Linked DNA regions of Oreochromis niloticus. The protein of the gene in region 1 interacts with the protein of each later gene in a biochemical or structural test. Links are inferred from orthologs where the notes say so. Each region holds a gene or a part of one and is shown on either strand. Other genes may lie near its edges.

Region 1 (10,532 bases):
TTACCAGTGCATAATACATTTTAATGCTCTCCCCTACATCCATTGCTTTTAACAGAATAGAGTCACTTGCTCTAAATTTAAGTAAGAGATCGCTTGCAGCAGTTCTGCCTAAATGAGGCAAAAAAAGAGCTGCTGCTCTACAGCTGTCAGAGAGGTGCAATATATGGTTCGGCTCTAGCAGAAAGCTGCTGGATAAGAGGAAAGACTTTTGCTCTTCCTTCCAAAATCCTCTATCAGTGAACTGACAGTCACAGAAGCAAGTATAGTAGACAACAGATTTGGCCAGTCAGAGGGAGATGTCTGTGGGGGATGTTTTCATTAAGGGATTAAGGGATAAGGATGGCGTTATTTTTATCTTTTACTTGTATCAACAAATCCCCTGAAGAGACAAAAGCCAGCAGCAGGGATATGGTTCTGTATTTACACTGCTCTACAGCGTTTGACAAACTGAGGGAGAAGACTACAATGGCTGCTTTCAATTGTGATGACAAATCAACAGCAAGGCTCTTTCATGCTGTTTTAAATGTTTTCAATCAGGGGTTTCTACAGCACAGAGGCAGAATATATTTATGCATCGCCAATTGTATATGCCAGTTTATAAGCCTGTCAATGGAATCTTGGTGCTTTAACGAAGGATTGTTAATTACAAATAAATGTATCCTCAGGGACACTGCTTAAATCTTTACAGCACAAAAAAAAAAACAAAAAAAAAAACCCAGCAGCAAGCCTTAAACTTTCTAGAAATCAAGATTTATTTTTTCCCCCTTTTAGATTTTCTACTTTGATCTATGTTCCCACAACATCAAAAAGAACTTTTCCACTTTCTACAGATTTCTTGGCTTCTTTTCATGAGCACGCAATTTTGTTTTTACTGTGCGCATCACAGTCACGACTAATCGAATACACTTTAACGTCTTCTTCCAACAAAACTTCATGTTTGTTTTAACAATAACATTTAGAAAAGCAGGTATGGAGAACTCACAGTTAAAAAGAAGACACAGAAAGTGTGACTTTAATTCATTCAACACATTATACATGTATACATCTGAATACAATTAACAGGAATCTTATTAAAGGACCTTTGTGCTTTTCTCCTTCCTACTGCAATGTCACTGAACATAGTAATGACATAATAATGAAAGATCATCACATTTTAACCTCAAACATGATGTGATGTAACGCTATATGGACTTTCATTCATGTATTAATATTGACAGAAATTTGTTGCAAATTGTGTTAACAAAAAGGTAGCAATGATGTAATATTCTTTTGATAGTAAATTATTTTAGATGAATAAATAGTTGGCCAGTATCAATTACAATTTTTTTAGACAGGTCAACTACATTTTTATTTTAATATATTTGTCGATATGTGCACGTTCCTCGGAGCAAAATATATAAAACGATACTTGAGATAAGTGAGAAGTGGTCTCTCCGTGTACTTTCCCCAACACCTGGGGCTGCTTCTGTTGTTTACAACACGCTACACAAAAAAGTTGGGGTTCAAGTTGAAGAGGTGGTAGGCGATTAGTATTATTTTCATCCATTTTGCCTTTTCAGTATATAACTGAACATATTTCAAGTATATAAAAGGCACGAGTTTCTTTTAAAACCCTTAAAAATGTATATTATCAGCCCAAATATCCTGTATCGGTTAGGCTCTCCTATGGATGCAATACATTTACATACTCAGCACAAATCACTTTGGAAATAACACACGTTTAGGTAGCTCTTTTAAGTTGTAACCATCAAAAAGTGTGTACCTGCTGCACTTTTTACGGAAGAACACGTCAGATTTCCAATTATATAAATTCACGTGACTATGTTATTAAAACACCCACATTTTGCTTTTAAATTGACTGAGGAACGTCAACGTAAGCCTACGTAATTCACGATTTCTCTTAAGACTAGACATAGTAAACATATTAGAGAGATTACTTTTTTTACGTTTACTTAAGTGCACATCACCTATCCCTTGTACCATGCACATCTGTCATGAGAAAGCGATTTGTAGCCACGCTAGCATGCTAACATCAGAGACAATTTGTGCCGGAAACACTAGCGTATGATATGTAAAGTCAAAATTGATCAAACGTCTAGTTTCGACAGCTATACAACTGCTTGTGGGGTTTCTTATACCATATAACTACAATAACTGGACCGTTAACTTACTTTGAATGCTAAGGTAGTGGTTCCATGCAGAAACTCTATTTTCCTTTCGACGCCATCATCGTCTCCGACACACAGCGGGTTTTTAACGGAAAAACTGAGGCTGTCCCCGGGCGTGCCTTCTAACCCCAGACCACTAGGTCCGGGTCCACCACCAAAAGCAAAGGACTGGCTACTATCAAACGAAAAATCCGCAGAATCACCGCTCAACACACTAGCAAGAGCCATCTTTGAAAATGTATGATGAACAAGCAACATCCGCCGCGGTAGTTTTTTTTTATTCTGTCATGGTAACAAAATCACACAGCGCCCCCTGTGTCTGTGGCGGAGTATTGGTTAAAAAAAAGCATGAGGTAAAGGAAATACCTTTTATTACACAGCTATTATTATTATTATTATTATTATAATTATTAAATTTACTTTTCAATGATAAATATAACAACATAATTCCTCCCACACATAAATGCTTTTGATTATTGAGTATTATTTGAGTTTGTCATTCTTTTTCTTTCCCTTCTTTTCTTTATCTCTGTAATATTCTTCTTTCAAGTCCTCTCTCTTTCTCTGGCTCCATCCTTGGGCTGTGATGTGGAAAAGGTCCACATTGTTCCCCGAGTAGGCATCCCTGTGAGTGGCCCTGAACACTGCTTCTCTTGCCAATGAGATGGCTTCTCCTTTACTCAGGCTCCACCTCAGCTCTCTGTCCAAGACTCCATAAGCATAAGGTGAGCCTGAGCCCACAGAGAAGACATCTCCCTGCAGTCGGGCTCCGTCACTGCACACATATATAAGCTTTGGACCGCTGTTAGGAGAAGTTGTTGCAGTAATGTTTTGGTTACTAAAAACAGCCAAGGAGCTATCATCAGTCATCCAGGATGAGTCTTCCAAACTTGTTGCACAGTCAGTGGCACCCTCTTGCTTATCCCAACCACACAGCGTAAGAGCAACACACATTTCAGTACCTTTAAAAGGATGAAGCATAGATGAAAGGAGCTTAGCTGTGGCACGTATTGAAAGGCGATGTCCATGCCGTAACTGGTACAGTCTGATCTCTCTAATCAGAATTCGCTCCCACAGCATGCAATCTGCACCACTACCAGAGGATGTGACCACTAGATGAGAGTGAATAGGGGTGATCTTATGAACAGCCGGACAGGCAACAAGCCCCCCGGCACTGGCACGTGTGTCTGCCGCTGCTATTACCCCACCTTGGAAGATGAAACCCAGGGTTGTTGTTCCATGAGCCAAACGGAAAGGCCTCTGGACTGTCATTGAATTTTTGGGTGGGCAGAAGGATGACAACGGCCTTTTAATGAAAGAGGAGGAATGTGGAAGAGGTGGTATAAAAAAATGCAGTGGTACTCCACAGTTGTTTTCAGATGTTTCCAGTCTTGAGTATCTTAGGTTGTAATGGTCACTCATAGGAAATGGAATTGCTGCATCCCCCAGGGATGAAAAAGAAAACCATTTATGTTGCACCGACCTTTCTTTGAAGCTGCAAACATCTTCCAAAGCCATGATGGTGTAGACACAGATACTTGATCACAAAATCAGAACATCTTTTCTGTTGAAAAGTAAATAAAAGTTGTTCTCAAACACAGTCTATCCACTGAAAAGCTGATCAAACACAATCTTAAGTGTCAAAGAAACAGGTCTGGTTTGTAGAGGGCGGATGCTGCTACTCTTTCTCATCTGCTTCTGAGTTCTTGCGCTTTTATAGCTCTTGCAGGTGTGACAGCTGGTAGAAATACACACACATATACACACGCCGTGTTCCATATCCAAAACCATTTATGGTTTATGTAAGTGATATTTTAGCCTACATGCTGTGAATTTGATACCCGCAGAAGCCAGTTTCTGCAAGTCCTACAAGTGAAGTTCAGTAAGGACAAGCAAAGCAAGCGGTGCTGTAGCTGAATCTATAAATAGAAATCAATCAAAACGTACCAAAGTGAAAGTGATCTTTCGTCTTTCATCTGAAACAGCATTCTGTCATAAAACTTTGTCGCTTGTTTTCATCCATCCTTTACAACACTGTCATTGGTAGGCTGCAACTGGCTATTGTACTTTCCACACAAAGCACGCCTGCCTGGATCCCAATGGAAACTGTAGGTGTTTCCATTTCACACATATGTCAGTGTCAGAGGCCTGCAGCGTTTTCTGGTTGTGTTCGCATGTGAAAACACAGCCAGAATTGGCAAATAGAGGAGCTTCTGTGATATATCATCATAACAGACAAGTTTTTGCCTTACTGACCACCTTGGCCAGCAGCAACTACAAGCATAATTTTATAGAATATCCCAGATTACTGTAGATTAAACAGAGCATTAAAAAAACAGGAACTCCAGCAACACTTGAGGAAAGAAGAACAACTTTAATAATTGACCAACGTGTTTTACTATGACCCTGATGAAGGCCACAAGCCAAAACGCGTTGGTCAATTATTAAAGTTGTTCTTCTTTCCTCAAGTGTTGCTGGAGTTCCTGTTTTTTAATTCTCTCATCTTCTCCATGCACCTTGGAAGCAGGTGAAGTTGTGCCAGGATTTTTTGCTGTGATTAAACAGAGCATGACATTTTTAAAATCATCTGAGGCTAAAACATCTTCAGCAGTAATGTTATTTCACATAACACTGAATTTTCTGCTGAAAAATTATTTTTTAATTTTAATTATTTATGAACAAATTGACAAATAAACCAGTTTTATGTGTAGTGAAGTGTGTTTGTGGTATTTTAATGGTTCTGTGGTTAAAGGAGTGGGTCTAAAAAAAGTCTATCTAAATCATTTCTGGTCAATGTTCGTTAAACTATACAATAGTTAACAATGTGTGCAGAAACAAGACGTCCGTGTACTGTAGAGTGCAGCGAGCTGCGGGAGGCTGTCAGCACATTTAAAAGACTAACAGACAGGCAGCACAAAACAATACGTTTTAATCTGTATATTAAAAAAAAACAAAAAACATACAATTAAATATAATTAAAAATAAAAATTAAAAAATTGTCCCCATTATCAGCTAGTAGTAAATATTTTTTTGTATTTGTACAGTGGAGAAAGGGCTTGCTGGGTTTTTATTTCTCAAATCTGGTTTCAATCATTATTTCATTTATTTTCTCTATCAAAGTACAGCAAGCGCGTTCGTCTTAGAAAAAGAAGTCGCCGTGAAACATCAAATGGCAACGTTTAAACAACGCTCGGTACACAATTATCGCGACAATGTACGCGATATGCAACTTGTGCACTCATTAAGCCATCTTGGTTCTGTCTCACGTTTGTTAGCCAGCAAGCATTGCATTCCTTAGGAGCCAAGATGGCGCCAGTTTCTTCGAAAGGCAGAGCAATGTGAAAGTCCGAGAAATCAATTCATTCAGTCGGCTAAAGTCATGGCGTCTGCCAGCACAGGGAGCAGGGTGTCCTGCGGGAGAGATTTGAATTGTGTGCCAGAGATAGCCGACACGTTAGCCGCGGTCGCCAAACTTGGGTAAGATGGTTTTTCGATTCTACATGTAATTTTTGTTTGGCCGAAATGAGCTTATGAGCAGAACGCGCTGCTTTGCTAGCACGTTCTCAGTGCGTGATGGTTGCTAAGCTAGCCGGTGAATTACCAGCACGTGCCCAAATCACAACGATGCTTGACACTGTAGTGAAGTGTGCACTACACAGGCTCTACTCCCGTAGTATATTTAAGGTGTGTGGAGGATTACTTAGAAAACAGGTTTGTGTTTCACTTCGTGTTGATATTATAAATATTTTGAATGTTAACTAACGTGCTTCCCTCCTCTGCTATCCAGGTTCGACTTCCTGTGCATGCCTCTCTTCCACCCGAGGTTCAGGAGGGAATATGAGCTGGAGCCCGCTAAATCCCGACCTGGAGCCCAGACCCGGTCCGACCTGCTGTTATGTGGCAGAGGTCAGTTTTCCTGCCCTTTTGTCTTCTGCAGTCTGAGGCATTACTAGCCATTAAATCATCAGTCCCCCTAAAGTGAGAGGAAACAGTGAGTGTGTTATGCTGTGCAGGGCATTTTGGGGCATGGTGGGGTCTACTGGTGCCCTTTATTTATTGGGTGGGGGGGGCGTCAAGGTCACTTTAAATTATATTTAAATGTAATATTAAATATATTTCAGCATAGTCAGTTTTCACAGTCCTAAAAGTGGAAAATTAACTTCTTATTAGGTCTGTTAAACCAAAACCACTGCAACCTTTACAATTCTCAGTAAATTAGTTTTTATTCATAGAACATAAATTTATCAAAGTTTGACAACATATGTTTGTGTAAGTGTGTCATGGCATAAATGAGGTTTTAGAAAGTTTCAGGAAAGAACTGCTGATGTTCAACGGGATGGAAAGGGTTACAGAATCATATCTACAGAGTTTGGTTTCCTCTGCTCCACAGCCACTGAACAACGTGTTGTTTATAGCAGGGTACTAAAAAGAGAGCTACTACTCTGCAAAAAGAATACTGAGCATTTGAACAATCTTGTGTGGGCTTCTGAGACCAGAATAGAACTTGCTAGTTTAAGTTTTAAAAACTCTGTTGGGAGTAAGGAAAACACAGAGTTAAAGCATAAAAACGTGGTGGTAGTATCATGGTCAGGGCCTGTTTTGCTGCATCTGAAGCAGGGTAGTTTGCCAACATTAATGGAGCAATGAAGTCTTTATGTCAGGACATCTGCCTGCAAACCAAATTTCATCAGAAAGTAGGTTGTGCTGAAAGACCAATCCTAAAAATGCCATTTGTTCTGCTAAAGCCCAGCCTAAGAAGGAAAGTAGATGTTAAGACACTAATTCTAATCATTTTCATATTTTGTATTAAATATTCTATCATAAGAAAGATGTGATTTTAGCATAAAGGTAAAGTGATTAGGTGTTTGATGCTTTCTCTAAAACGTCCTTTTGTTCTGTCTAGATTGGAATACTCTAATTGTTGGGAAGCTCTCTCCGTGGATCGATGCAGATTCAGAAATCGAGACAGAACGCAGAAACTCAGAGGCTGTAAGTTCTTTGAGTTTGATGGTGCTTGTGAGGGTTCTTTGATCTTGTGATATGAGTGAGGTTATCATGTCATCTCTTTAATGCTTATCTTACCTATTTTCCCATGTTCCTCTCCAGGCTCTTACCCAGGAGCTAAACTTTTCTGCCTACCTGGGCCTGCCTGTCTTCATGATCCCTCTGAAGGGCCCCAGTAATGCCAATCTAGCCCGAGTGCTGCTAAATCACATCCACACTGGACATCACACCTCAAATGTAAGACGCAGCACATCAGGAATCGACAAGCACACACAGACTGCGTTAAGATGGCAGAAAAGTCAGACAGTAGAAGTCCTCGTTTAACCGCTGCTGTCCTCTTTGTTGATTAGTTCTGGATACGCGTCCCGCTGATGGCGTCAGAGGACATGCGGGAAGATCTGATTGAGAATGAACCGATCTCTTGTACTGATGACACAAGCATTGATGAGAAGACTTGGAGCTGGTTAGTTTCATGCCACAGCACTTCCTGAGCAACTGAGTGCCGTCTGCATGCTGAAACGGTTACTATTGATTTCCTTTAAAACGGTGTCTGTCTTTGTTTACTTACCTCATCTTTTTTTTTTTTCATAGGTGGAACTCATTCAGAACCCTTTGTGACTACAACAAGAGGATCTGTCTTGGTGAGAGAACACACTTTGAAGCAGCAACCTGGGGCAACCTTTGGGCATTGAGAAATAATTATGCTCCTGTCTGTTACTGAGATTGTGCTTCGTTTGTATTCCTAAAGCGGTTGAAATTGGACCAGATATGCCATCAGACACTGTGATTGATAAATGGCTCGGAGAACCTATCAAAGCAGCCATTCTCCCCACCAGCATCTTCCTAACCAATAAGAAGGGCTTCCCTGTTTTGTCGAAAGCCCATCAGAGAGTAATCTTTCGACTCTTCAAGGTATAAACTAACATTCATAGATTGTTTGATTTTAACAGAACTCAATCTGCAGTCAAATACAAAAAGGTTGGTTTTTGTCTACTTGTGAAAAAAAAATCTTTAAATTAAAATGATCTTCTTTTATAGTTGGAGGCCCAGTTCATCTTCACAGGCACCAGTCGGCACACTGACAAGGACTTCCGATCCTACCTGCAGTACCTGGAGTACCTCAACCAGAACAGGCCTGCACCCAATGCCTACGAGCTCTTTGCTAAGGGTTATGAAGACTACCTGCAGTCACCTCTACAGGTGAGGAAGTACACTTTCATGCTCACGTTTTTATGCCTCTGTGCAACTGGAAGCCATAGCTAGATGTATAGTTATTTCTGGTTGGATCACTGAAGGAACATCAGATTAGATTTTTATGGTCAAAAGTACTGACCTTGCAAAATATACATTTTAAGTCAAGAATTAATTGTGACATATTGTACACATGTCTAATAATATAAAGTAATGAATTGATGGCATACTCAAAAGGTTTCTCTTAAGAGATACGAATGGAAACTGCAGTTTCACTGGTTGGTAGAATTGTAAAACTGTGAGGCTGTTGTTTTGTTTTTACCTGCTAATCAGGACCTTTTAACATCATGTTTTGCTTTCTTTGTTTAGCCTCTGATGGACAACTTGGAGTCTCAGACATACGAAGTGTTCGAGAAGGATCCTATTAAGTATTCACAGTACCAACAAGTAAGACAGTCAGACATTTTTTGGGTATGAGGAGGCATGGCACAGATGTTACAGAGAGGTCTTTGCTTGTCCAGTAGACATACAAATGCAGTAAAATCTGTTTCCCCTACACAGACTTTACTTGGGCAGACTGTTCAGATATGTTGATGCGAGTGCATTTGTTTTTATCCATCACAGAGAACACGGCTAGCTGTGATTCATTTTATTAGTGGACAATCCCTTTGCACTTATTTTGAAAATTCAGTTCCTGGCTCATGTTTCCTTAGTGGATGGTATCAGTTTTCAATATTGGTCAGTTGCTTTTTACCTATGAGCTTGTAATTATTATCCATCTGTCCATTTTCTTGGAAAGCCCTGATCCAGCCAGTGGACTTGGAGCCAGAACATTCTTACTGTGAAGCAACTGTGTTCACCACCGCACCACACTGTTGCCCCTAATCATTATCATTTGCATCGGCCTCTGTTCAGCCTGAATGTGAAGATACGCATAGTTATTGTGTCTGTGTATGTAGAGCTTATCCACACAAAACAGACTGTCACTCGTGTAGCATTTGAAAAACACTGACATTCAGGTGTTTAGTGTTAGCAAAGGGGTTTAAATGGTCTCTAAGAGTTTGAGGCAAAATGTATTTAACACCTGTTTTGTTTTTGTTTTTTTCTTTGCGTGTGCAGGCTGTATATAAATGTTTGCTAGACAGAGTTCCAGAGGAGCAAAAGGACACTAATGTTCAGTAAGTATCTAAAATTATTGTATAAAGAGTCACAAATGAGATTGTGGAGTAGGAACTATATCCAGATATTGATTCATACAGTATCATGGCACTTTATAATATACTCCTATAAGTCTCACTGGAAGTAGAACAGGATAACACACACTGACTGTTTAAACTTCAGTGGTAGCCACCAGGGTAGCAGCCTTGTCTAAAATAATGATGTGTTTTTTCCACAGGGTGTTGATGGTGTTGGGAGCAGGTAGGGGTCCTCTGGTCAATGCATCCCTGCGTGCTGCCAGGCAGGCAGACAGGAGACTGAGGGTGTATGCTGTGGAGAAAAATCCCAATGCTGTAGTGACGTGAGTAAAATAATGCTTTCAAATGTTCCATGTTTCACAGTGTACAAGCAAAAATATTACCACATGCAACAGATCAATTGTGCTACCTGAATGAGTCTATAGATTGGATAAAAGCTTGGCCTTTGATTCTAGCTGAATTTATAGTAAGTCAGGAGGGGATTGAAGTGAAGCCTGAAACTTTCAACGCTTATTTTATTGATGTGTGTTCTCTAGGCTAGAGAATTGGCGCTTTGAGGAGTGGGGGGATCAGGTGACGGTGGTGTCATGTGACATGCGGGAGTGGGCCGCACCAGAGAAAGCTGACATCATTGTCAGCGAGCTGCTCGGATCATTTGGCGACAATGAACTCTCCCCAGAGTGCTTAGATGGAGCACAGCATTTTCTCAAAGGTATTTCAGGATTTTAATGAAGACTTAATTACACATGTAGACACTGCAGAGTCATCAGAGGTCATTTTTCTACATTGCCACACCAAGCCATATTGAAAGCGTCACCTTTAATGCTTCCTGACTTTAATTACTTTCATTTTCCCCTTTTTTTTTTTATATCAACTCACCTTCAGATGATGGAGTGAGCATTCCCTGCTCATACACATCCTACTTGGCTCCTCTGTCGTCCTCTAAGCTTTACAATGAAGTACGAGGGTGCCG
Region 2 (10,932 bases), on another chromosome or scaffold:
ACAGCTTTGACTAAGAACTCTCTTTTTGTTCTTACTTTATGGTTTTAAAAAAAATATCGAGATATATATCTTATATTGCCATCCAGCTACAAAATATCAAAATAAGCAGACAGACCACTGGATAACCAGTCAAATGTTTCATGAATAAATTTGATGATGTGATAAAGAAGTGGCGTTCCTCCTCCAACCACAAACAGGACGCTCAAGAAGCGAGCAGTGTCAGTGTTTGTACGACACTCACCAGGAGACCTCTGAGCAGGATGGCTGCAGTCACACAGCTCTGCTTCTCCCTGCTGTTCACTCTCATCAGCAACATTCATGCAGAAGAATTTATCCTCACTATTGAAGAAGGAGGCTCTCTTGAATTCAAGCTCCCAGATCAAAACAGCTCCTGCATCACCTCCAGACGTGTTGGTGAAGATACTCTGGTCCTGTGGAACATCTCTGACCCCTGGAACAGAAACGTCACAGTACATGAAGACCTGACAGGACGACTCTCATTTCCTGAGACATTTCATGGTTCTCCTTCATTTACTCTCAACAGCCTGACCCACTCAGACTCTGGACTGTACCAAGATGTGTGCTGGACTCAGGGCAACGTGACATATGAGAGAAACATCAGCCTGACTGTGTGCAGGAAAGTAAGTAAGGAAACAACGCGTAATGTAACACACAAAGCCATAGTGGATGTACGATGTGAGGGAGCAGGTGAGGATCTGACGGTGAAGTGGATCAAACATGACTTTACGTATGACAAAGACTTACAGCTAACAGTTTTAGATGATGGCACAGCTTTGAAGGTGGACAGATTAAAAGAAAGTTTCCTGGAGGTGAAAAACGCATCACTTCTTCATGTCTTCAACACATTACAAACATTGTACATCTGCCTGGTGATGAACCAACAGCAGTGTGTGAGCACTCACTCAGTACGTTTGACCAAAGCAGCAAAGATAGTCCATGGCTCAGTGGGAGACACAGCTGTGCTGCAGTGTCCCTTCATTCATGACCCACACCCGGTTTGGAGGAAGTGGGAAATGGGCTCGAAGACTTATGAAGAAGTCGGTCAAAACTACTCGCTGGTGCTTCCATTGCTAATGTTAAATGATTCAGGTTGGTACACCTGTGGAGGTCAAACCATAAAACAATGGTATAAACTTTTGGTGTGCCCCAAATTTGGTCCACCTGCAGTAGAGGTCTTCTCAGAGGGAGATGATGTCAATCTCACATGTACTACTGAAAGAAAACTGGGTATGAAGCCCTGGTGGTTTATGAAATCGATAAAAAGAGAAGGTAAAATCATTGAATTTACTGAGATTATTGAAAATCAAATCAGAATCCTTCTTTCCAACGACAGCCTGATAATGTCTAATGTCTCACTGGAAGATGCAGGAGAGTATTGGTGTACAGTTTTAGAGTCAGAGATTGAGTGTGTGTCAGCAGAAAAAACAGTTCTGATCCACAGAGAGCCCTTTGGGGTTTACTCGACCTTCTACAGAGTCAGGTGGATACTGCTCAGCGGTCTGCAGGTGATGCTTTGTGTTGTTGTGGTCTGTGTGATACAGAAAACCAGGAGAGGAGAGCGGCTTTCAGCTCAGACACACACTTAATATGCTTATCAGCATTTATAATGGTAATAATGATAACAACATTATTATTATAAGTAATCATAATAGTGTTAATATTAATACAGGGACCTAGGATTGATGAAACAAAAACAAAAACAAAAACAAACAAAAGTATTATTGTAGATATGAATCTGTGACCTGACTGGACAGCTCGCTCTCTTATCTGATTATATATTTTAAACATTTTGCCTTTTTAATTTTTCGACTTAATTCTTATTTTTTTGTACTCATTTTTATTTCACCTAGAATGATTATGTGCTTTTTTGTTTCATGTGATTTGTTTTTTATCCATATGTCATTCATGTATCTCTCAGAGTATCATTGTGAATATTCTTCTGTTTCTATCAGTGATCAGTTCGATCTATAATAAATGTTAGAAACCAGTTGTAAATGTATTCGTTCTTCACTCTGATGTGAATCATTATCATCTCTCTTGGAAAATGTATTTTGTTATTGTGTTTAAGAGCAGATTCATTACAGCACCATGTTTATCTGCACTATATTGTTTTCATTGTTGTGAATCATTTATATTTGCATTTCAAATTGTTGTGATGCAGCAGACTGGAAACATGATTGTCTGATACAGCAAACACTTCATAATATGGACTTTACTGCTTTCACTGTGTTTTTATATTCTCCATTTTTGTTAGGAATCATTTCTGAAATAAAAATATCAAAATCTAATTTAACAGGCTGAATGTTGATGCTCTTCTGTCAATGACTCCATGATGATTTTTAATTTTAATAAACACACAATCCTCATATTTCAGTGCAGGATTTAATAAACTGGATCAGAGCTCCCAAACTTTATTTTCAAGCAAATAATCAGGATTTTGAGTTAATATGCAGCCAACACGCTTTAACATGTCTCTGATGTAGAGTGAAACATGTTACAGAGCTGTTATATCATTTATTAATATGGTGATTGTTTCAGAGGGAAATGTCAGTCTGACTTTGTTCATTTCATCTTATTTTTGAGAAATGATCAAACGAAAGGTTTTAAGGAATGTCGTCCTGCTTTTCTTTAATGTGCACTGATAAGTTAGTGTAAATCATGCAGATAAAAGAAGGATGAAGGACATGAAAATAAAATGCACTGTCGATCACATAATATCACCAACATCAATCAGTGAAAAACATTTACAGTGAAGCACGAGCCTGACTGATTTTAGGATAAAAGTTGAGGTGGAACTGTAATCGTGGCCTCAGTCCTGCTGTGGGTGTTCAAAACAAGAACATTGCGGGAGAGCCAATCACTTTTCATACATTCTCAGAAAGTCACATGAACAGTAAAAGATTACATCTGACACACTGAATGCTGATAAGTGAATACTGAGAATTTAGAAGGAAATGTTTTTAACTTGTTCCAGATAGTCTCATTGAAACTGTCACACTAATCTTTGTACTCTCTCAAACTCAGAAAAACTCAAGAAATCTAATTTTTTTCATAATTTAAACATTTTCTCCAATTCGTAAGTGCTATGTAAATCATTAGGGTCTAGGTGTTATTGTCCTTAGTGGGTAGCTCTGTGGTCTCACAGTAAGAGGATCCTGGGATCAAACCTGGTCAGAACTCTGTGAGGGGTTTGGATGTTTTCTTAAGGAGCTCCAATTTCTACAGTCACCAAAAACAGTTCAGGCTAAGAGAACCATTACACCCACTGCACTGGTCGCTTCACACACCAGCAATAACATCATAACAGCCACGTGCATTTATATACACTGCTAAGGTGTTTTTGACACAGTGGCAAACAGCAAAACATTCAGAGGTTCACTGATACCGAAATAAGACTAACGTGTGGCTTGTGCCAATGGATTTAACATCACTTTTGTCCTTTCTTATCCTCGCCAGAGCAAGAACACCAAGGATCATGGCTCCATGATGTCACCGATCTGGGTTCAGGACCTTAAAGAAGTTGTTACTCTAAAGCGATTGTTAATCTGATTAGTTCTCTCCTGGTTTGAGGAGAGAGATGAGAAACAACAAACTGGATATCACATTTATCTTCCCCTCACACCCCTGGGAGGCTGATGTGTGTCCCACAGGATCTAAGTCCAGTTGTTCTCTACCACCTCCAACAGTGAAGCACAGCTGGAGTTGAGGACTTGTAATCGACATGTGACACAGATGTTCCTGTACACTACCCCAGTCGTCTGTGCATCTCAGTGTACAGGTACGCCCACATAGAATGACCACCCCCAGATAGCTACCAGCGAACTGCCAGCCAGTTTCCACCTGTTGGCCGTTCCTCCTCCTGGGGTGTTTGGGCTTTCTACACTCCCCTTTCATTCAGTTACAGAGTGGCACCAAGAGGTGGCGCTTTCTTCACAAAAACTGAAAATGTCAAATAGACCAAACTTTACAGTCAGCTTGACTTTTCAGACATTTTTCACTGCACTAAAAGTATTCCTGGAAAACATTCTTTCATTTTAATTTAAACCAATTATTAATTAAAGTAAATTATTAATTAAATAAATAAATGGAAAAAGGCAACCATTGATAAAAACGTCCTCATACTCTAAGCTCAAAAGCAGATGTGAAGGTAAAATCTGATATTTGTACAACTTTCATGTTTCATTTACTGTTTGCTTCAGTGTTACTTGTTCAGACTTCTGTTTCATCTCTAAATATAATTTATATTTTTCCATCAGATTACAGCTCCTTTGTTCTCTCATTTTAATTTTAGTAGTTTTTCAAGTGGTTGTTCAAAAAACACCTGAGGCATTGACAACATTTTTAGGTAAATAGTTGTATGAACTTTATTGTTTATAACATTTGTGCCTAGGTTTTTTTTTGTTTTTTTTTAAATTTACAATTCATTTTTGCATTTCAAGCTGTGAAAATAATTCTGTAGATATGTTTGTGGTTTTTACATTACAAAACCAAAAACAATGACAGCCTTTTTCTACTCATTTTTTATGTTTTTGTGTGATTTCAGATCAGTTGTGTTAATACAGTATGCCAATAAATTCAGACATGTGAGATTGTGCTGAAAAGGTTGATACCAAACAAGGCAAGGCAAGAATAAAAAATGTAAAAACAATTTAAAGGTGATGAAATACAAAAGTAAAATCAAAAGTAGCCAAAAATGGCCAATTATGGCCATTAATAAAAATATCAAAATCTAATTTAACAGGCTGAATGTTGATGCTCTTCTATCAATGATTCCATGATGATTTTTAATTTTAATAAACACACAATCCCCATATTTCACTGCAGGATTTAATTAACCGGATCAGAGCTCCCAAACTTCGATGTCAAATGAGTAATCAGTGTGTGTGTGTGTTCTGAGGCAAGATTAGAAAATTGCATAACTGCCTCAGTGCTTGTAAACCTTATAGTCCTTACAAACTCTGTCTTTATTCTGTTTCCAAACAATTTTTCAAGAAACCGATATAATGAGGATCAAACTTATTTGTAATATTTTTGTTCTCCACTCTCTCAATTGACAAAAATACCAACAGAACAAAAACGTTAAATGTGAACACACAAATGAATCATGAAAAATTTCAGTATATTATAAAATAGTTTTGACTCTCAGGTTGAAGATGATCCTGGGATTCAAATCTTGGTGAAAATGAGATCTTTCAGAGCTCTGAAGCTTTGATGTCAAATGACTAATCAGCTGTAAAATGCACATTATATTTGCTAAGCAGCTTCTTATGTGGACCAGTGTAATTGGAGTGTAATCCAAACGTAATGAGTTACTATTTTGAATATTAATGATTCTTTTTTTATTAAGGCAGTGTTTAAATCAGTTACTGAACCTCCTCAGTTAGTCACTCAAATTTGTAACCAGTGAGGAAACCCTTAAGTTAATGTCTTTACCAACAAGTGAAAAAAGGAAAGAAAAAAAATCTTATAAAGTCAGTGGTGTTTACTCAATATGTCCTTTCTTTTTTTATACAGATAATCATTTATTTTTACTTTGTTGATTTGTGCTTGTTTATTTAAAAAATCGTGTTTGTACTGTCTATATGCTCAGTCTTTGTTAGAATGTTTATTTTTTACTCTTTTTTTTGTAAATAATGTAAGAATTTATGTTTCCACATCTTTAGGAATAAAAGATTAGGGAGCAGCTCCATCTCGCGGCAGCTTTTCAAACTGCCAATCTGGAGTGTGTGAATTCTCGTTGGGAGTTTTGTGTTGTCGCGATACTTCAGCGTGACGTCACCCTGAACCAGCACTTTGTAACTCCAGTGTTTTCAGTTTTTGTCACGCCTGTTCTCGCACTCAAAGATTTCCGTCCCGGATCTGCTAATCCAAGGGACGAAGCGTTATAGCACGGCTGCCGTTTTCTCGCCTCCAGCTGTCCGACACTGATTTAGCACTGAGAAGTTACCCCGGGTGAAATTAGCCATCTTTAGCCAGTACAAAATTTATCACGCAGCAGCGCGTTTTCACCGGTTTCTGTTCTTTCCCGTCCCAGCGGACCGAGGACTATGGTGTTACTGAAAAACCTCCAACCTCCCACCGAGGGAGTGAGACACGAACAAGCCGAGACCACGGCGGTGATGGACGGCCAGCGGCTCGGCTGCGGCACCCTCTACGTCGCAGAAACGTAAGTGGTGCACGTGGCGCATGCTTTGCTCTTTGGCTCGTGGGTCTGGGGTTCAGGCTCGTGTTTATTGAGGTTCTTATCGGGCTTTCACGCGCCCTTTATTGGAAATTACACCAGTTTACATTATAGACACAAAAATAAACGTCTGCTCCGTGCGCTGAAATCACTTCCGGAGCACAGTCTTTCAAAATAATACGTTGCAGAACAAAATGTGGATGTCTTCTTTTGAATCCAGTATTAGAAATATGTTTACTTATTATTTATATTACATTTTTTTCTTGTACCTCTCCGTAAACATGATATATTTTGTGTCTGTTTTTGTATACCTTAGACTCTCGGTAATGTTAAAAGGCGGGTTTCTTTTTTCCTTTCTTTCATGTTTATTTTTAAATAAATGTATTTTTTATTTGTATTTTTTTGGAATTTGTTTCTGTGCTATCATTGTATTTCTTTCCTTTTTACATTGTCTTTGCGTTCTTTTTCTTCTTCGTGTTGTTATATTATTTCAGTTATTCAATTCTTAATTTAATTTCTTATTTATTTTTCTTAAGCTAGTAAAAATTTTTGGATAAGCGCAAAACAGCAATAAACTGGGAAGGAAACATTGTGTGCGTAAATTCAGATTTTACAGCTGTGTTATATTTCTCACAGACCCACGCTGTTGCATTACAATTACATACTGTCTCATTACATATTTTTTTACTTTCAGGAAGTAGAAGCAAACAACGTTAAAGTAATTTAGTTGGAATTTTTTAACATTTTTGAAAATATCATTTGATAAATTAATAGTCAGTTGAGACCGTAATTAGTCGTTGCCAGAAAAGTCAGATAATAAGCCTGACAGACATTTAAAAGCATCTAAAAGTTGTTTAGTGCTGTTGTTTAAAGCAGTTTGTTTTCCTTTTATCAGGCGCCTGTCGTGGTTTGACAGCTCAGGCCTGGGTTTCTCTCTGGAGTATCCCTCCATCGGACTGCACGCCATCTCCAGAGACGTCAGCGCTTACCCACAGGAACACCTCTACGTCATGGTCAACGGCAAACTCAACAGTGAGGCGAAGTTTACATCTGAACTTCATATCTCTTTTTACTTGTTTAGGCAGGGGGAGTCCAGTCTTCGGGGTTGTTAAAGCGTGTTTGACCTGTTCTGTACAAATAGTTTCTTTACAGTTTCTGAAGGAGTTTTTGGGTCACTGCTGACTTCTCCTTACAGAAGAGAACGAGGCAGAAATGGCAGAGAAAGCAGCTGATGATGATGATGATGATCATGACGGCAGCAGTGATGGTGGTGACGATGATGAAGACGAAGGGACGATCACAGAGATTCGATTTGTTCCCAGCGACAAAGCGGCATGTGAGTGACCTCGCTGGGGATGAGCAGCAGACATTTCAACATGGCTGCACATCCTGTATAAACAACAGTTGGAGATGGCGCAGCATCACACTTATACCTTTGTGTGCTTTACTTGCAGTGGAGTCCATGTTCTCAGCCATGTGCGAGTGCCAGGCGCTTCACCCCGATCCCGAGGATGACGACTCGGACAACGACTTTGAAGGAGAGGAGTACGACGTGGAGGAAGCCGGTGAGGCAAAACTCAAATGCATAGATGCAGATTTGTCTTTAGCAGACACAAAGAAGACAACAGCTCCCCACATTCCAACAAACAGTGATCTAAATCCTCAAATTAATTCAGAAACACAAAACAGAAACAGAAAATCTTTCCAGAAAAAAACTGAGTTTTCTTTTTAAGCATTTTATTGTATTTGTGAATACAGAATAGAATTGGCTTTGTGTCTAATTGTATTTCTATTGAAGTGATTTTCTTACATCACCAATGGCTGTTCTTGTAAAGTTGATCTGTTCTGCTCATTTCCAACCTAAATTTTTATTCTTGGACACTGAATTATCTTTAAACACATTTCATATTTACTGTATTCCTCCTTCCGACAGCACCAGTTCATCCTCGATCCTCCTTTGTCTGACACAAACTCCTCCCGTTTATCTCCTTTAGCTCCACCCTCCAGAGGAGCTCCACTCCTTTAGCTTCCTTCTGATGGATGGATGGATGGATACTTTATTAATCCCACAAGGGAAATTGTTGTTGATTAGCTTTGTCTTGCAAAGAGACGGTCTGGCTAGCCACATTATGGATGTCCCCATGTTTGAGATTAGACAGATCCAGGTTATAAACCAATCCTCATTAATAAGCGCTTAAAAGCTCATAATGATTACTTGTTAGTATGGTGACCTCGTGATTTGTTATGGTGGCTGTTTTACTCTGAGCACGCACCATTGTAGCTGCATATATGACAGAAAATAAGGATTACCAAATAGTTCCAGTTTAAATAGTTTACTGTAAAGAACATTTGATAAAATACTTCTTTTGTCTGAATGTAAAAGTCTTTTCATTTTTCTCCTTCTGTCTTTTCTCTTTCCCCTTCACGGACTGATGACTCGGACTGTTTGCTTGCAGAGGCTGGTAAGTTTAAATGAGATGAAACACCTTGCTGAGCAGAGTAACTGATGTTTATGGCAGTGCAGTTTGGACAGGTGGAATTAAACACTACTCTTTGTAAATATGTCACTGAAGAAGCAGCAGGACTGAGAATAGATGGTTATCAGCAGCTGAACTTTCAAAATAAGAGTGAGGGGATTGTGCTATCCTGTTGTTAAGTGATGATGCGTGAACCCTGCATCCAGGTCCAAACTGCTGTTGTCTTTTTAAGGTGTCATTTAATCTGAACAAGTCCTTAAAATTAGTCAGTGATCACTGCCTGTCTCTCTGGGTTTTTATTACCACTATTCATCTGCAGCACATTTTAAAGCTCAGTTTTTAAAACCATGTGGTGTAACTACAGCCCAGCGGCTCAGGTTTGCCAGACACCAGATATTTGATGTTGTCAGAAAAGAGTCACTCTGAGACTAACATTGATTTGAATGGGTACACAGCTGTTTAGTTCTCTGTGTTCGTCTATGTGTGAAGTGACAGCAGAGTTTTTCAGAAATCCCTCAGAACATGGTGCATCATCTTTAGATGGAACGGCTAATGATGTCAGACTTACAGGGCAGACTGGAGATGCCACTGTTTCTTCCAACAACCAAAGAAACAGTAGAAAGAATTCATGAGTCGTTGTTAGATATCAGTCTGGGAGCTATATTCTGTGTGCGTAAAAGCTTTCAACACCTTTATCATGTTACAGCAAAAACACACAGGTAGAATTTGTCTTTAAATTGTTGCTGCTGCGTCACCATCTCTCTCCTCCACCTGCTTAGAGCACGGTCACGCTGACATCCCGACCTTCTACACCTGCGACGAGGGCCTGTCGGCACTAACGCAGGAGGGTCAGGCCACGCTGGAGAGGCTAGAGGGGATGCTGGCTCAGTCAGTCGCTCAGCAGTACCACATGGCTGGAGTCCGGACGGAAGAAACAAAAGCCGAGTTTGAAGGTCAGTCACATAAACCTCGACCTGTCGCTCTTTGTGTTTTAGTTTTGTAAGTAATGATATGACACACGGAGCACGATGAGACAGATGTGAGGGACACAATTACAAAAGTTTCCAGACTAAAACTAAACAAAATGACACCGTAGATACAAAAAAGGTCAACTCATGTTCAACGTTGCTCTGATGTGTATCAGGAAGGTGGAGGAGGAGATGGTTGATCGGCATGCAGCCTGTCATCCATTGCTATCTGAACTTTGAAGCATTAGTGTTTTGGTTGCCACCATGTTGGTTTATTCAACAAACTGTATTTGTCAGATAAATTCATTAAAATGCTTCAGGAGGCATCAGCAGCATAGACAGAGTGGAGGTGAAGCCTAGCAGGCAGCTAGCAGCTACACCTGTGGTGACACACCTGTCAATCAAAGCAGCCAGTCCCTAACTTTAAGCTCTGGTGTGAGTTATCATCACCTGTACAGTTGTTACTAAAAATGAAACTATCCTATGTTTTTCTTACCTGCTTTAACCAGTCAATGAGAGACTAATAAATATACTGTTCAGTTTATAATGTAGAGCAAATATAAATGACTTACATTTCCTCAAAAAAATCTTTTCTGTGCAGTGAAAATTAAAGTATTTCTGGATGATTTTCAAGATGAGGATCAATTATTTTAAGATTTATTTCTGGTGTGTGTGTTTATGTTGACAGATGGGATGGAGGTGGACACAGCAGCGATGGAGGCGGGTCAGTTCGAGGATGCTGACGTCGAGCACTGGTAGGTCTCAGTGTGACGGTCAGCATTTGCAGGAATTGGCCGTTAGAAGCAGGAACAGGCAGTTTGGCCAAAGAGCAGACGTTACGAAGAGAAAGAGAGAGCTCTGAAAAATCAATAGCAGAAAACGTGGCGATAAAACAGTAGGTTGAGGGGGAGAAATCCTTTTAAAACCTCATTTTGGGGCAAAGGTGGTACACTTTTAAGCATTTCTAATCAGATTTAACAGGTGATGCTGTAAGTGCCGCTTTTAATTACCACTGAAATAAGAATTTATTTACATGATGCTTCAAAAATAACTAAAGTCACATTTATAATGGCTGCAAAAGATCATGTGATGATCTTTTGGGTCCAGATCCACCGTCTGAATCTCAGCGTGCCAGCGAAATTTAACTACACTCACACTACACTACCACTTGTTTAACTAAAAAAGGCATGTGCAGAATAAAATGTAAAACATGTGCTGAGATGAGAAACATACTGCACACGGCCCACTGAGCTAATCATCAATCAGTGTTTGCATTGATTAACCG
Region 3 (11,309 bases), about 28 Mb from region 1:
AATAGTGGTTGGATCTCTGCCTTTTTCCTTCTGAAGTCTAATATGAGTTCTTTGGTTTTTGAAGTGTTGAGGAGGAGGTTATTGGCCTTACACCATGACGTCAGCTGCTCCACCTCATCTCTGTACATAGACTCGTCACTCTTGGAAATGAGCCCCACCACGGTGGTGTCGTCTGCGAATTTCACAAAGATGTTGCTGTGGTGGCGAGGAGTGCAGTCGTGTGTGTAGAGAGAGTAGAGCAGTGGACTGAGAACACAGCCCTGGGGTGAGCCAGTGCTGAGACTCAGGGCTGAGGATGTGTGATGGCCAACTCTGACTCTCTGTCTACGGCCCGAGAGGAAGCTATAGATCCACGTGCAGGTGCTGTATGGAAGCCCCAGGTCTTGTAGCTTGGCCACCAGTTTGTGTGGGAGGATGGTGTTAAAAGCTGAGCAGTAATCCACGAAGAGCATCCGCACGTAGCTCCCATGCTCTTCCAGGTGTGTTATGGCAGCATGGAGTGCTGTGGCTACAGCGTCTTCCGTGGATCTGTTTGCTCTGTAGGCAAACTGGTGTGGGTCCAGGCTGAGGGGCAGTGCTGCTGTGATGTGTCTGCGGACCAGCTTCTCAAAGCATTTCATTACCACCAGAGAGATCTTTTATTGGCGAATCAGCATGCAGTATTTCTGTGAGAAGCTCTGTCACATATCATGGAGTCCAGCTGACTGAGGAGAAGGTCAGAGGTTCTCATCTAATCAGGATCGACTACAATTTCCTGCAGAGCTCTGCGGCTGAAAGGAGGAGGGTCTTTCATCAAACATCAAACATCTGTTCTTCTGAACCCTTACAGGGTGGCGCAATCCTGTTTGGAAGTTCATCCTGCTCCCTGACGACTCTGCAGCTTTCCTCAGCAGCTTCTCGCAGTACAGCTGTTTTAACCACAGATCCAACAAGCCAATCAGTGATTTCAAACCTTTATGGCATGACATCACATCGCTGACAGACACCGCGTGATTTAAAAACGCCAGAGCATCCCGCCTCCACGCTGGAAAACACGCCTTTGTTCCAGCTCTGCTCAGGTTCTCCTCTGGATCTTCCCGTCGCCACACAGATGTGAAAAACCTGCCGCTTCGGTCTGATGTCACTTCCTGTAACACTCCGCCTTCGCAGACAGACATTTACGAATGTAAAGACAAAGTTTGTCGTTTTCTCGGAGGAACCGTTTCTGCGACGTCTCTGAACGAGGAGCATGTGTCCGGGTGAGCGCGCCCACTGTCTCAGTTTCCTGTTTCGCCCCGCACCGTGACGATGACCATGATGTTCATTGTTAATGGGAATGTTGGAAATAAAGGTTAGTTTACAAAAAAAGAAAAAAGAAATGTTACCGTTTGGCATCAGTGCGACGCAGTTATCTTCATCGATGCGAGTCCTGTAGGACAGACCGAACACTGCACCTGAAACACAGACAGTCACAGCAGGGGGACAGGTGAGGGCGTGTGTGTGTGAGTCTGTTGCTATGGGTAACTAATGTCAGGCTGGAGCTGAGTCATTGGATATAAATTAAAGTTCAGAGCTGAAACTCAAAGTCGTCACGATAACTTTGTGACGATGACGTGATTCATATTCCTGCTCCTCTGGGTTAACATGGAGCCCGTGCTCTTTATTCACCCGTTGCCATGGCGAAATTATGGAACTAACTCCGATCAGCTGTTTGGGAACCTTAGAGGTTTCTTTTAAAACTTTGTTCCTGGAATGGAGCTCAGGTGTGTGTGCGCACAGGTGTGTTACCGTGGTACACGGCCGTCTCCAGGAAGTGTCGGTCCAGCAGCTCATACACCGGCAGCTTCTTGATCAGGTAGAAGCTGCTGAAGTTGTTCAACACAGAGTCCAGGTGAGAGGGGGCGGAGCTACACTCAGGAAGCAGCACAGACACCTGCACAGTTGAAACAGCTGATTAGGGCTGCTCAATTAATCGAATTTTAATCTCGATTACGATCTGGGTTTTCAACGATCATTAAAAATGACTGAGCCGATTATTAGCACCTCCCTCGTGCTTTACTCTCGTGCTGCTCCGTGTGGCAAATCGAGCGCACCTCTCTGCGTTTCGAACACGCGTCACAACAGTGAAGAGGACCCGAGGGAAGCTCGGAAAGCTAAGCAGAAGTTATTTGGAGAGGAGAGGATAATGGCTGCTGAAGAAAGAATGCCGTTGGTTGAAAAGAGGTAAAACGACTTCAGTGGTGTGGAAACCAATGTTCCCTCTAAGCTGCGCACGTGCGCAATTGCGCACTGCTGGCACGGTCTCTGCGCACAGAAAATCTGCGTTGCGCACAAAAAAAATCTAACCCGAATTGAAATTAATATTAAAACTTTAACAATTCTGTTTTGCAGTGTTAGTCAGTGAGTGACTGGCTGCTCCTGTATGGGATTAGAACGATGCCACCTTATCCTATAGTCCAGCCAATAATGCGATTCACATTCGTATATACGCAGCCAATCAACGTCGCTGACAGGCTATGACAGCGTCCTTATGTGCCGACACCGGTGTTTTAGCTAGCAAAGCGGCGTGGCTGATGTGCAGTGAAGCCACGTTAATGACAACGTGTACAACCATTGGAGATGTGAGCAGGGCTGGACTGGGACAAAAAATTAGCCCGGGCATTTTGACTAGAGACCGGCCCACCAGGTATTATGGGAAAAACTAGAGAGCCTTTGAATGAAAACAAACGTCGTTGTGACAGTGATGTACACTGTCTTGTTGGTATATATGTATCAATCTAGAACTTAAACCTACACCATCCTCCCTATTCTGGTATTCTAAACAGTACTTAGCCGAAACCCAAAGACTGCTTGGTTTACCTCCTGAACTTTCTACAACATATGGTGGAAACTTGAAATTAAGACAGAGAAGCCTAGAGGTGAGACATGACCATTACTGAATATTAAAAATAATAAATGACAGATTTAGTGATATTTTCATAAACTATTTATTTACCACATCAATAAACAGCATGGCAGGGCAAAATATTTTTGTAACATGGCAACCTTTAAAAAGTGAAAGGAGACAGAAAGAAAGGTGAGAAAGAATAAAACTTCCTCACTCAAAACTTACCATCAAAACTTAATTTTGATGGTATTTTACACACAGTACTGGTACAGTATCTAGAAAATGTGGGAAAATACTGGCATCATATACAGTACTTACTTCTGAAGAAATTATGTTGGGACCCTGAAAAAAATTACTATGTACAATAATGGATTTCTATACATTTGACATCAGATGAAAACTTTGGTTGTATGACTCAGATAATTATTTGTTAAAAGCTAGAAATTTCAAATGAGAATAAGAAAGAAACGTATTTTTTGTGCCCCCCTTTCCCTGTTAATGCCCTACCTGGCCCCCTGGCAAAACTTTGCTAGACCCGCCCCTGCACAGTTACCAGCTGTCAGCTAGAAAAGGATCCTGGTGTTATTTGTCTCCCAGAAACAGTTCATAACTTCCCTTCAACCCTTCATCCCTCCAGCAAACATCAGCTGATACTAGAAATTAATATTAAATAAATTCTAACAACAGCTCATCAAGTTTAAAGGTGCTTCTGTTGTTTAACGCGACCTCCGCTGGTTTGCTCTTTCTGACGCAGAGAGAAAAGCCGATCAGCTGATCATTGATCATTGATCAGCTGATCGGGACAAATCGCGTTGCTTTTCACCTCAACTTTAAAGTTCGACCTCCTCGGCTGTAATTGGTCCAGCCCAGAGTCGATCATGACCAACTGGCCAATACACCACTATTCATTTATACCGTTGAAAAAATAAAAGAAATAAAACCCCATCGGCCCATAAAAACGAAAAATCACGAGCGGCCCACCGGGAAAATGCCCGGTATGTATGGGCTCAAAATGTGGTCATAAATATTTTGTACTTGTAAATCAGTTTTGTATGTGTAAAAAGAATTTGTGCGTGCGTAAAAAAGATTTGTATGTGCAAAAAAGATTTGTTTGTGTGTAAAAAAGATTTGTATGTGTAAAAAGAATTTGTGCGTGCGTAAAAAAGATTTGTATGTGTAAAAAAGATTTGTGTGTGGACTTAGCCAAAAACCCCCCTGCAAGTTACAAGTACGAATTTTGACCCTATTTTTCTTCCTGTCATCTGATTGGTCAATGTCATGTCAATCACAAATGTAACAATCCAATCAGAGAACAGATGGGTTTGGCTGTCGGAGGGGCACTTTTTTGAACTGCAGGTCCTTGAAGGGTAATACAGTTTGAAGCTGGAGGATCTCTATATAAATATCCGATAGCAGCTAGGTCCCCTAACTTTCAGCAGCTGTTGAAAGGATAAAGTTGTGGTATGTCAGTGGTTAGAAATACCATTATTACTTTAGGATTAGTTTAACACAAAGTCAGGGCTGACCCGGGACCATTGCTGTGAGTCACAGTGCGCAGCATAAAGGTCCTTTCACATCGGACGCAGGATGTGCTGCTAATGCTAACTGCTAACTAAAAGCAAAGGATCCAGAATTTGTTGCGCTGGCTGCTGAGCTCTGTGGGTTTTTGCAGCAGCTCTACCTGTACTAGATGCACCTGCTCCTTGTCGTTTCTGTCTCTGACTTTATGTCCTCTACAAGAGTTTGGTTTTTTTGCTAGTTCTTCAAATGTTCAATAAAAACATGTATGCTAATTCATAACGAAGAAAGCTTTGTAATGAAGACTGTCATTTCCAAAACACTGCCCCCCCGGTCCGCAGCGCTGTTGAAAAGGCTGTGGAAGTCCCTGTATAAAGCACGTAGACCTGTGACACAAAAATCACCAAACTCGGATGACCACAGACTGTTTTCCTTTGTGGTGATGAAGGAAAACGCTGGGTTGGCATGTAAAAGGGCATTTATTCCCTTCAAGGACCTGCAGTTCAAAAAAGTGCCCCTCCGACAGCCAAACCCATCTGTTCTCTGATTGGATTGTTACATTTGTGATTGACATGACATTGACCAATCAGATGACAGGAAGAAAAATAGGGTCAAAATTCGTACTTGTAACTTGCAGGGGGGTTTTTGGCTAAGTCCACACACAAATTCTTTTTACACACACAAATCTTTTTTACACATACAAATCTTTTTTTACACACGCACAAATCTTTTTTACGCACGCACAAATTCTTTTTACACATACAAAACTGATTTACAAGTACAAAATATTTATGACCACATTTTGAGCCCATAGGTATGCCCGATGGCCAGTCCAGCTATGGATGTGAGCAGGACAGACGGAACAATTGACGGACAAAGTGTGGACTTTATACCAGTTTTTAAATTGTGTTGATCGGCCACGTAAAACCAGAGTTATGATAAAAATATCTGCAATGTTTGGTTTTCTTCCTGAATACTATCGTTGTTTATATTTACTGCCGGAAGAAACGGTAAAAACGGCGTTTTATAAGGAAAACGCTCGAAAGCACTCTCAGCCTGTGAGCAAAAACAAAACCAAAAAACCCCCCACCCTTTCCTATTAGTCGAAAAAAGTACCGTGTCGACCAATCAAAAAAATGATATGGCAACGTGGCATCTAGTTGTTAAGAAACGGGGGGAAGTTTTAGGAGTGACGGCGGTGTTCTGAGATGTGAAAGATTTGAGAGGTTTGACCTCTCAGAGCAGCTCCCACGGGTGCTGGGTGGGGTTGAGGTCAGGACTGCAGATCCATACTCTCCACTCCCAAATCCTGAAGTTAGTCTCTGGTAAAGCCGCTCTGTGGGGGCGACTGCTGACTCACCTCTGAACACGCAATCCTTCCACCTCAATGCTCTGAACGGTCATCCACAGAACCACTCGCACACTGAGCCCTGCTGCTCCACCCGCATACTCAGCACTGCTCCACTCGTGACTGCTCTCCTTGCACTCGATCAAACACGACTTTAAATTTACATGAAGCCGTCCGTGAGCCCGACGCTGTGAAGCTAACGGCTCGGAGGTGAAAGGTCAGAGGTGAAGGGTGAGAGCGTCACCTGGTGGTTGAAGTGCAACTGCTGCACCTGCGCGCTGATCCGGTTCTTCGGGTCCAAGAAGCTGGAGCTCTCCGACACCAACAGAGTCCGCGGAGTCCGGTCCAGCTCCGAGGACGTCATCTTCTTCGGCTGCGAGCTAACTACACGTGTTTCCGGCCGCGGCTTTTCAGTTTAAAAGCTCCCGGTAGCGAACCGGAAGTGTTCGTTGTTTTTATTTTGGAGGATATTCCGGCTGTTGGGTGAATGGGGCGTTTGTGTGTGTGTGTGTGTGTGTGTGTGTGTGTGTGTGTGAGAGAGAGAGAGAGAGAGAGAGAGAGAGAGAGAGACGGATCGGTGGATGTGATGTGACGTCATCCTCCGACCCGCGCCGCTCTCCGTAGTCACGTGGTCGAACCCGGAAGTGGAGCAAACACGAGGAGCGGCGCAGCACAATCGGTCTCGAAGGTTCAGCGCTTACCTGTGTTTACCTGTGTGAGAGGCTTTGACGTCATGGCGGAGCCGGCGTGTGTACCTGGGCAGTTTGATGACGCGGAGGAGGACAGGTGAGTTCGTTCGTTTGTTTTGATGCTGCGGTGTAAACAGTGAGGCTGTACCTGGCTAAATCACCATGGTAACAGGTCACCTAAGGCCTGCACTCCATAGCAGGATTCAGTCTTGTCCAGGTAACCTCAGGTGTAACCTGGGTTTCTGTGCTGTGAAGCAGCAGCTGATGCTTTCATGTGTGAGCTTTTCTGTCATGTTTACTGACGTCACCTTACACACACACACACACACACTCTCAGTGTAAGTCTCCATGGCCGTGCTGTCGGTGTTTCAGTCCCATACACAAACCAGCCTCTCGCCATCAGGGCTTCTTGTTTCAGGTCAGGTAAAATTCAGCTCATCATATTTACTACATAAATACAATCAGCAGGCTTCAGGCCACAAGAACAGAACCACGACTTTAACCCACAGAGGAGCTCTGATAGCTCCACAGAGGGGACCAGTTCACAGCTCAGGCCTCTGCCCTCCTGACCATCGGGGCACCAGGGCTGCCTCCTCCCTTATCATTACATCTTGTTTGCTGTATGAGTAACTTTCACAGAGATTTCAGCAGCTCTGACTGTGTTTTTGTTGTTTGTTCTTTTGTTTTTTTGTTCTGCAGTGTCAGGTCAGTGGAGCTGACTCGCATCAGTGATGCACTGCCTTCATCAGAGCAGCAGGATTTCAGTGAGGAGGAGGATGTGGATGATGAGGATGAGTGGGCCTGGAGCTCAGCAGCAGATCTGGCCAAAAGATACAACCAGGCAGCGGGTGGCTTGCAGGTGAGACAGGAAGTGAGTAGAGGTCAAAGAACCAACAGAGTCTTCCAGGTCTAAAAGATGGAAGGATGGATGATGTATGTGTTGAACACCTGATTATGCAACAGAGGAGCTAACAGAGGGACTAACAGAGGAGCTTACAGAGGGACTAACAGAGGAGCTTACAGAGGGACTAACAGAGGAGCTAACAGAGGGACTAACAGAGGAGCTTACAGAGGGACTAACAGAGGAGCTAACAGAGGGACTAACAGAGGAGCTAACAGAGGGACTAACAGAGGAGCTAACCGAGGGGCTAACAGAGGAGGTAACAGAGGAGCCAACAGAGGGGCTAACAGAGGAGATAACAGAGGGACTAACAGAGGAGCTTACAGAGGGACTAACAGAGGAGCTTACAGAGGGACTAACAGAGGAGTTTACAGAGGGACTAACAGAGGAGCTAACCGAGGGGCTAACAGAGGAGGTAACAGAGGAGCCAACAGAGGGGCTAACAGAGGAGATAACAGAGGGACTAACAGAGGAGCTAACAGAGGGACTAACAGAGGAGCTAACAGAGGGACTAACAGAGGAGCTAACCGAGGGGCTAACAGAGGAGGTAACAGAGGAGCCAACAGAGGGCTAACAGAGGAGATAACAGAGGGACTAACAGAGGAGCTTACAGAGGGACTAACAGAGGAGCTTACAGAGGGACTAACAGAGGAGCTTACAGAGGGACTAACAGAGGAGCTAACCGAGGGGCTAACAGAGGAGGTAACAGAGGAGCCAACAGAGGGGCTAACAGAGGAGATAACAGAGGGACTAACAGAGGAGCTAACAGAGGGACTAACAGAGGAGCTTACAGAGGGACTAACAGAGGAGCTTACAGAGGGACTAACAGAGGAGCTTACAGAGGGACTAACAGAGGAGCTTACAGAGGGACTAACAGAGGAGCTTACAGAGGGACTAACAGAGGAGCTAACCGAGGGGCTAACAGAGGAGGTAACAGAGGAGCCAACAGGGGGGCTAACAGAGGAGATAACAGGGGGGCTAACAGAGGAGGTAACAGAGGGACTAACAGGGGGGCTAACAGAGGAGATAACAGGGGGGCTAACAGAGGAGCTAACAGAGGAGATAACAGGGGGGCTAACAGAGGAGATAACAGGGGGGCTAACAGAGGAGCTAACAGAGGAGATAACAGAGGAGGTAACACAGAGACTAACAGAGGAGGTAACAGAAGGGCTAACGGAGGAGATGAGTAGTTCTTTGGAGGACTATTTCTGTGGAAAGCTAACTGAACCTTGTGCTACATTAACATAATTATAAAATGATAGATAGATGGGAATACAAACTTTAGTCTATCTTTGTTTATTCTAATTGTTCTCAGCTTGAATCAGAATAAAAAGCATAGAAATAAAAACAAGTCTCTATTTCCTGTTGCCTCCATTGTAGAAGGTGACTTTGTCTCCAAACAGGAACGTGTACAGTCAGAGGTTAACGTGGATTCAGCAGGTGGAGGAACCTTTAAATCAGCTGTAATGTCTGAGTGTGGGGAAAAGACTCAGTCATTTCCACTGAGAGCTCCAGTAGAGTTTCTTAGTGTGCAGGCTGTGATCAGCTGACCTGCTGCTCTCTGTGGATGTACACACCTGGATTCATCCAGATGTGAGCAGATGTAAAACTCATATTCTTGAGTCATATTTCTTTCCATTTTAATTCATTACTTAAACATTCAATTAATTATTTAATGGGCTATTTAATTGTTTTTGGTACTCCTGGCCCTCCATACACTTGCTGTAAGCTAACTGTGAGCATGAACCCACAGCCACTGTGCAGCAGTCACAGACTCTACTGTAAACCAATCACAGTGCAGCAAACTCACCTGTTCATCCTGCAGAGGATTCTCATGCAGCCTTTAAATAACACAGTCAGTCTGCCTCAGTTTGATTAGCAGCAGGTTTATGAACAAACACAATGTGACAGATTTAAAACCATGAGGACTTCCATGTGAGCTTTAAATGAGCGTCCTTCCTTTAACTCTAAGCTGTCTTCTTCCTCTCCTGTCCTTCCTTCTTATCTGTCTCCATCTCTGAGTGAACTTAGCTCTCTGTCTTTCTCTCTGTCAAATACAGCAGCTGAACCTTTAGCTGCAACACACTGAGACAAACTGCACAGTTTGTGTTTGCTGATGTTTGTTGAGCTGATAAGTGTCAGCTAATAGAAATGAGCTGACAGCATTGCTCCTCTTCTGTAGTGCTAGCTTGATGCCGAAGAGTGTGTGTGTGAGAGAGAGACGTTATAAACTGAGTCATTTTTGTGCACAGAGTCTCCGTCTGCAGTCCAACAGACAGAATCCGTCCAAGAAGCTGCCATCATCAACACCATCTGACAAAGCTTTGAGGAAATATGAACACAAGATCAACCTGGGTACCCCACACACACACACACACACACACACACACACAGCTTTTTAGTTTCGTGAAGCTCTTAAACGACATCGATGTGACGTTTCATCCGCCTTTCAGAACGACCTGTCTGCTTACAGCTGATTGCCAGTATTGATCATATTGATCATATTGATTGATCACCTGCACCCAACGGCCTGCTATAAGCCGCTGTGGAGGTCTGGAGCCATTGAAGCATCCTCCAGTCTGCGTCTCTGGTCCAACGTTGGTGTAGGCTTTTTAGTTATGATCAGGAATCGATTGCAGTGATTGATCGTCTTTGTTTTCTGGCAGACAAACTGAACTACGCAGACTCGGTGATTAATAAAGTGACGACGATGCAGAAACAGAGGGAAGCCGACACGTGAGTCTGAGAGCAGCTGATGATGCTGACATCAGCCGGGGTGTTCCTGCTGTGACTCACATCCTGATTGGCTTCTCTCCACAGGTACAGAGTGAAGGACAAATCAGATCGAGCCACAGTAGAACAGGTGAGTTCCTGTAGCGGCTCTGGCCTACAATCTAGAGCACCTTAAGGCGACTGTTGTTGTGATGTGACGCTTCCACTTTTACTGAGTTCTTTAGGAAAGAACTGCCAGGAGGTTAAAGATAATAAGGTGAAGATCAATAAGCAGCTGATGCTTTCTTCTTCTTCAGGTGTTAGACCCTCGAACTCGAATGATTCTCTTTAAGATGCTGAGTCGAGGAATTATCTCCGAGATCAACGGCTGCATCAGCACCGGGAAGGAGGTCAGACCATTCAGTAATCGCTCGATCAATACGCTGAATGGTTACACATGCGCTGATCAATACTCGTCCCTCTCAGGCAAACGTTTATCACGCCAGCACAGCAGCTGGGGACAGCAGAGCCATCAAGATCTACAAGACGTCCATCCTGCTGTTCAAAGACCGCGACAAGTACGTCAGCGGGGAGTTCAGGTGAGTCCGGCACCACAGAAGAACAGCGCTCAGGTACACCGCGAGCACTTCCTGTTGGCTCCAGGTACAGCAGGAGGCTCCTTCAGGAACAGTTTGTCCTGTTGTTCTGCAGGTTCCGTCATGGGTACTGTAAAGGAAACCCCCGGAAGATGGTGAGAACATGGGCAGAGAAGGAGATGAGGAACCTCATCAGGTCAGAACCTTTGTAACCACACCCAGAACCAAACAGAACTGGTTCTGACTGGTAGAACCCAGTAAAGCCTGTGTTGAGCGTTAGAGTCCATTAGAGATGTTCTTACTGATAACATGGACCCGCTCTGATTGTATAACCTGTTAAAAACATGGAACCTGTCCCATTGTCAGAACTTGTTCTGATTGCTAGAACCTGGTAGAACTCGCGGGTTTGTGTGTGTTTCAGGCTACAGACGGCGGGAATCCCGAGCCCAGAACCTCTCCTCCTCAGAAGCCATGTTCTGCTGATGGGGTTCATTGGAAAAGACAACGTGTAAGCATCGGTCCGATTAATAATCAATCACATCAGCAGAGTCTTACACTGACTTTAAGGTGATTTTACAGTTTAACAGTTTTCAGTTCTAACTGCTGTCTTCAGCTCAGCAAACTAACCTGAACTTTGATAAGGCTGCAGAAACCTGCAGTCACCTGACTCTGGAAACTC

What was found.
Region 2: the proteins of prmt5 (region 1) and clns1a form a complex in vitro, tested with the Homo sapiens proteins (5 studies listed by BioGRID and IntAct, with this or other methods). The link is inferred for Oreochromis niloticus from reciprocal best matches to the Homo sapiens genes PRMT5 and CLNS1A.
Region 3: the proteins of prmt5 (region 1) and riok1 are reported together in a solved structure, tested with the Homo sapiens proteins (2 studies listed by BioGRID, with this or other methods). The link is inferred for Oreochromis niloticus from reciprocal best matches to the Homo sapiens genes PRMT5 and RIOK1.

Annotation. Positions count from the first base shown.
Region 1 is NC_031982.2:6,913,863-6,924,394, forward strand, and holds the start of prmt5 (protein arginine N-methyltransferase 5), read left to right. Parts: upstream 1-5,407; 5' UTR 5,408-5,547; coding exon 5,548-5,645; intron 5,646-5,955; coding exon 5,956-6,074; intron 6,075-7,071; coding exon 7,072-7,157; intron 7,158-7,274; coding exon 7,275-7,409; intron 7,410-7,522; coding exon 7,523-7,635; intron 7,636-7,763; coding exon 7,764-7,813; intron 7,814-7,920; coding exon 7,921-8,084; intron 8,085-8,210; coding exon 8,211-8,372; intron 8,373-8,732; coding exon 8,733-8,810; intron 8,811-9,482; coding exon 9,483-9,541; intron 9,542-9,759; coding exon 9,760-9,882; intron 9,883-10,095; coding exon 10,096-10,271; intron 10,272-10,444; coding exon 10,445-10,532. Other genes in the region: psmb5 (proteasome subunit beta type-5), read right to left, coding at 2,172-2,426; psmb11a (proteasome subunit beta type-11a), read right to left, coding at 2,652-2,971, 3,086-3,440. UniProt on the Homo sapiens protein: Arginine methyltransferase that can both catalyze the formation of omega-N monomethylarginine (MMA) and symmetrical dimethylarginine (sDMA), with a preference for the formation of MMA.
Region 2 is NC_031979.2:35,678,475-35,689,406, reverse strand, and holds clns1a (methylosome subunit pICln), read left to right. Parts: upstream 1-5,776; 5' UTR 5,777-6,068; coding exon 6,069-6,187; intron 6,188-7,097; coding exon 7,098-7,234; intron 7,235-7,397; coding exon 7,398-7,538; intron 7,539-7,656; coding exon 7,657-7,767; intron 7,768-8,658; coding exon 8,659-8,664; intron 8,665-9,458; coding exon 9,459-9,632; intron 9,633-10,335; coding exon 10,336-10,406; 3' UTR 10,407-10,407; downstream 10,408-10,932. UniProt on the Homo sapiens protein: Involved in both the assembly of spliceosomal snRNPs and the methylation of Sm proteins.
Region 3 is NC_031982.2:34,661,741-34,673,049, forward strand, and holds the start of riok1 (serine/threonine-protein kinase RIO1), read left to right. Parts: upstream 1-6,316; 5' UTR 6,317-6,465; coding exon 6,466-6,518; intron 6,519-7,120; coding exon 7,121-7,292; intron 7,293-9,574; coding exon 9,575-9,677; intron 9,678-9,988; coding exon 9,989-10,058; intron 10,059-10,142; coding exon 10,143-10,185; intron 10,186-10,351; coding exon 10,352-10,444; intron 10,445-10,520; coding exon 10,521-10,633; intron 10,634-10,745; coding exon 10,746-10,826; intron 10,827-11,051; coding exon 11,052-11,138; intron 11,139-11,309. Other genes in the region: rpp40 (ribonuclease P protein subunit p40), read right to left, coding at 1,365-1,433, 1,768-1,912, 5,977-6,096. UniProt on the Homo sapiens protein: Involved in the final steps of cytoplasmic maturation of the 40S ribosomal subunit. Involved in processing of 18S-E pre-rRNA to the mature 18S rRNA. Required for the recycling of NOB1 and PNO1 from the late 40S precursor.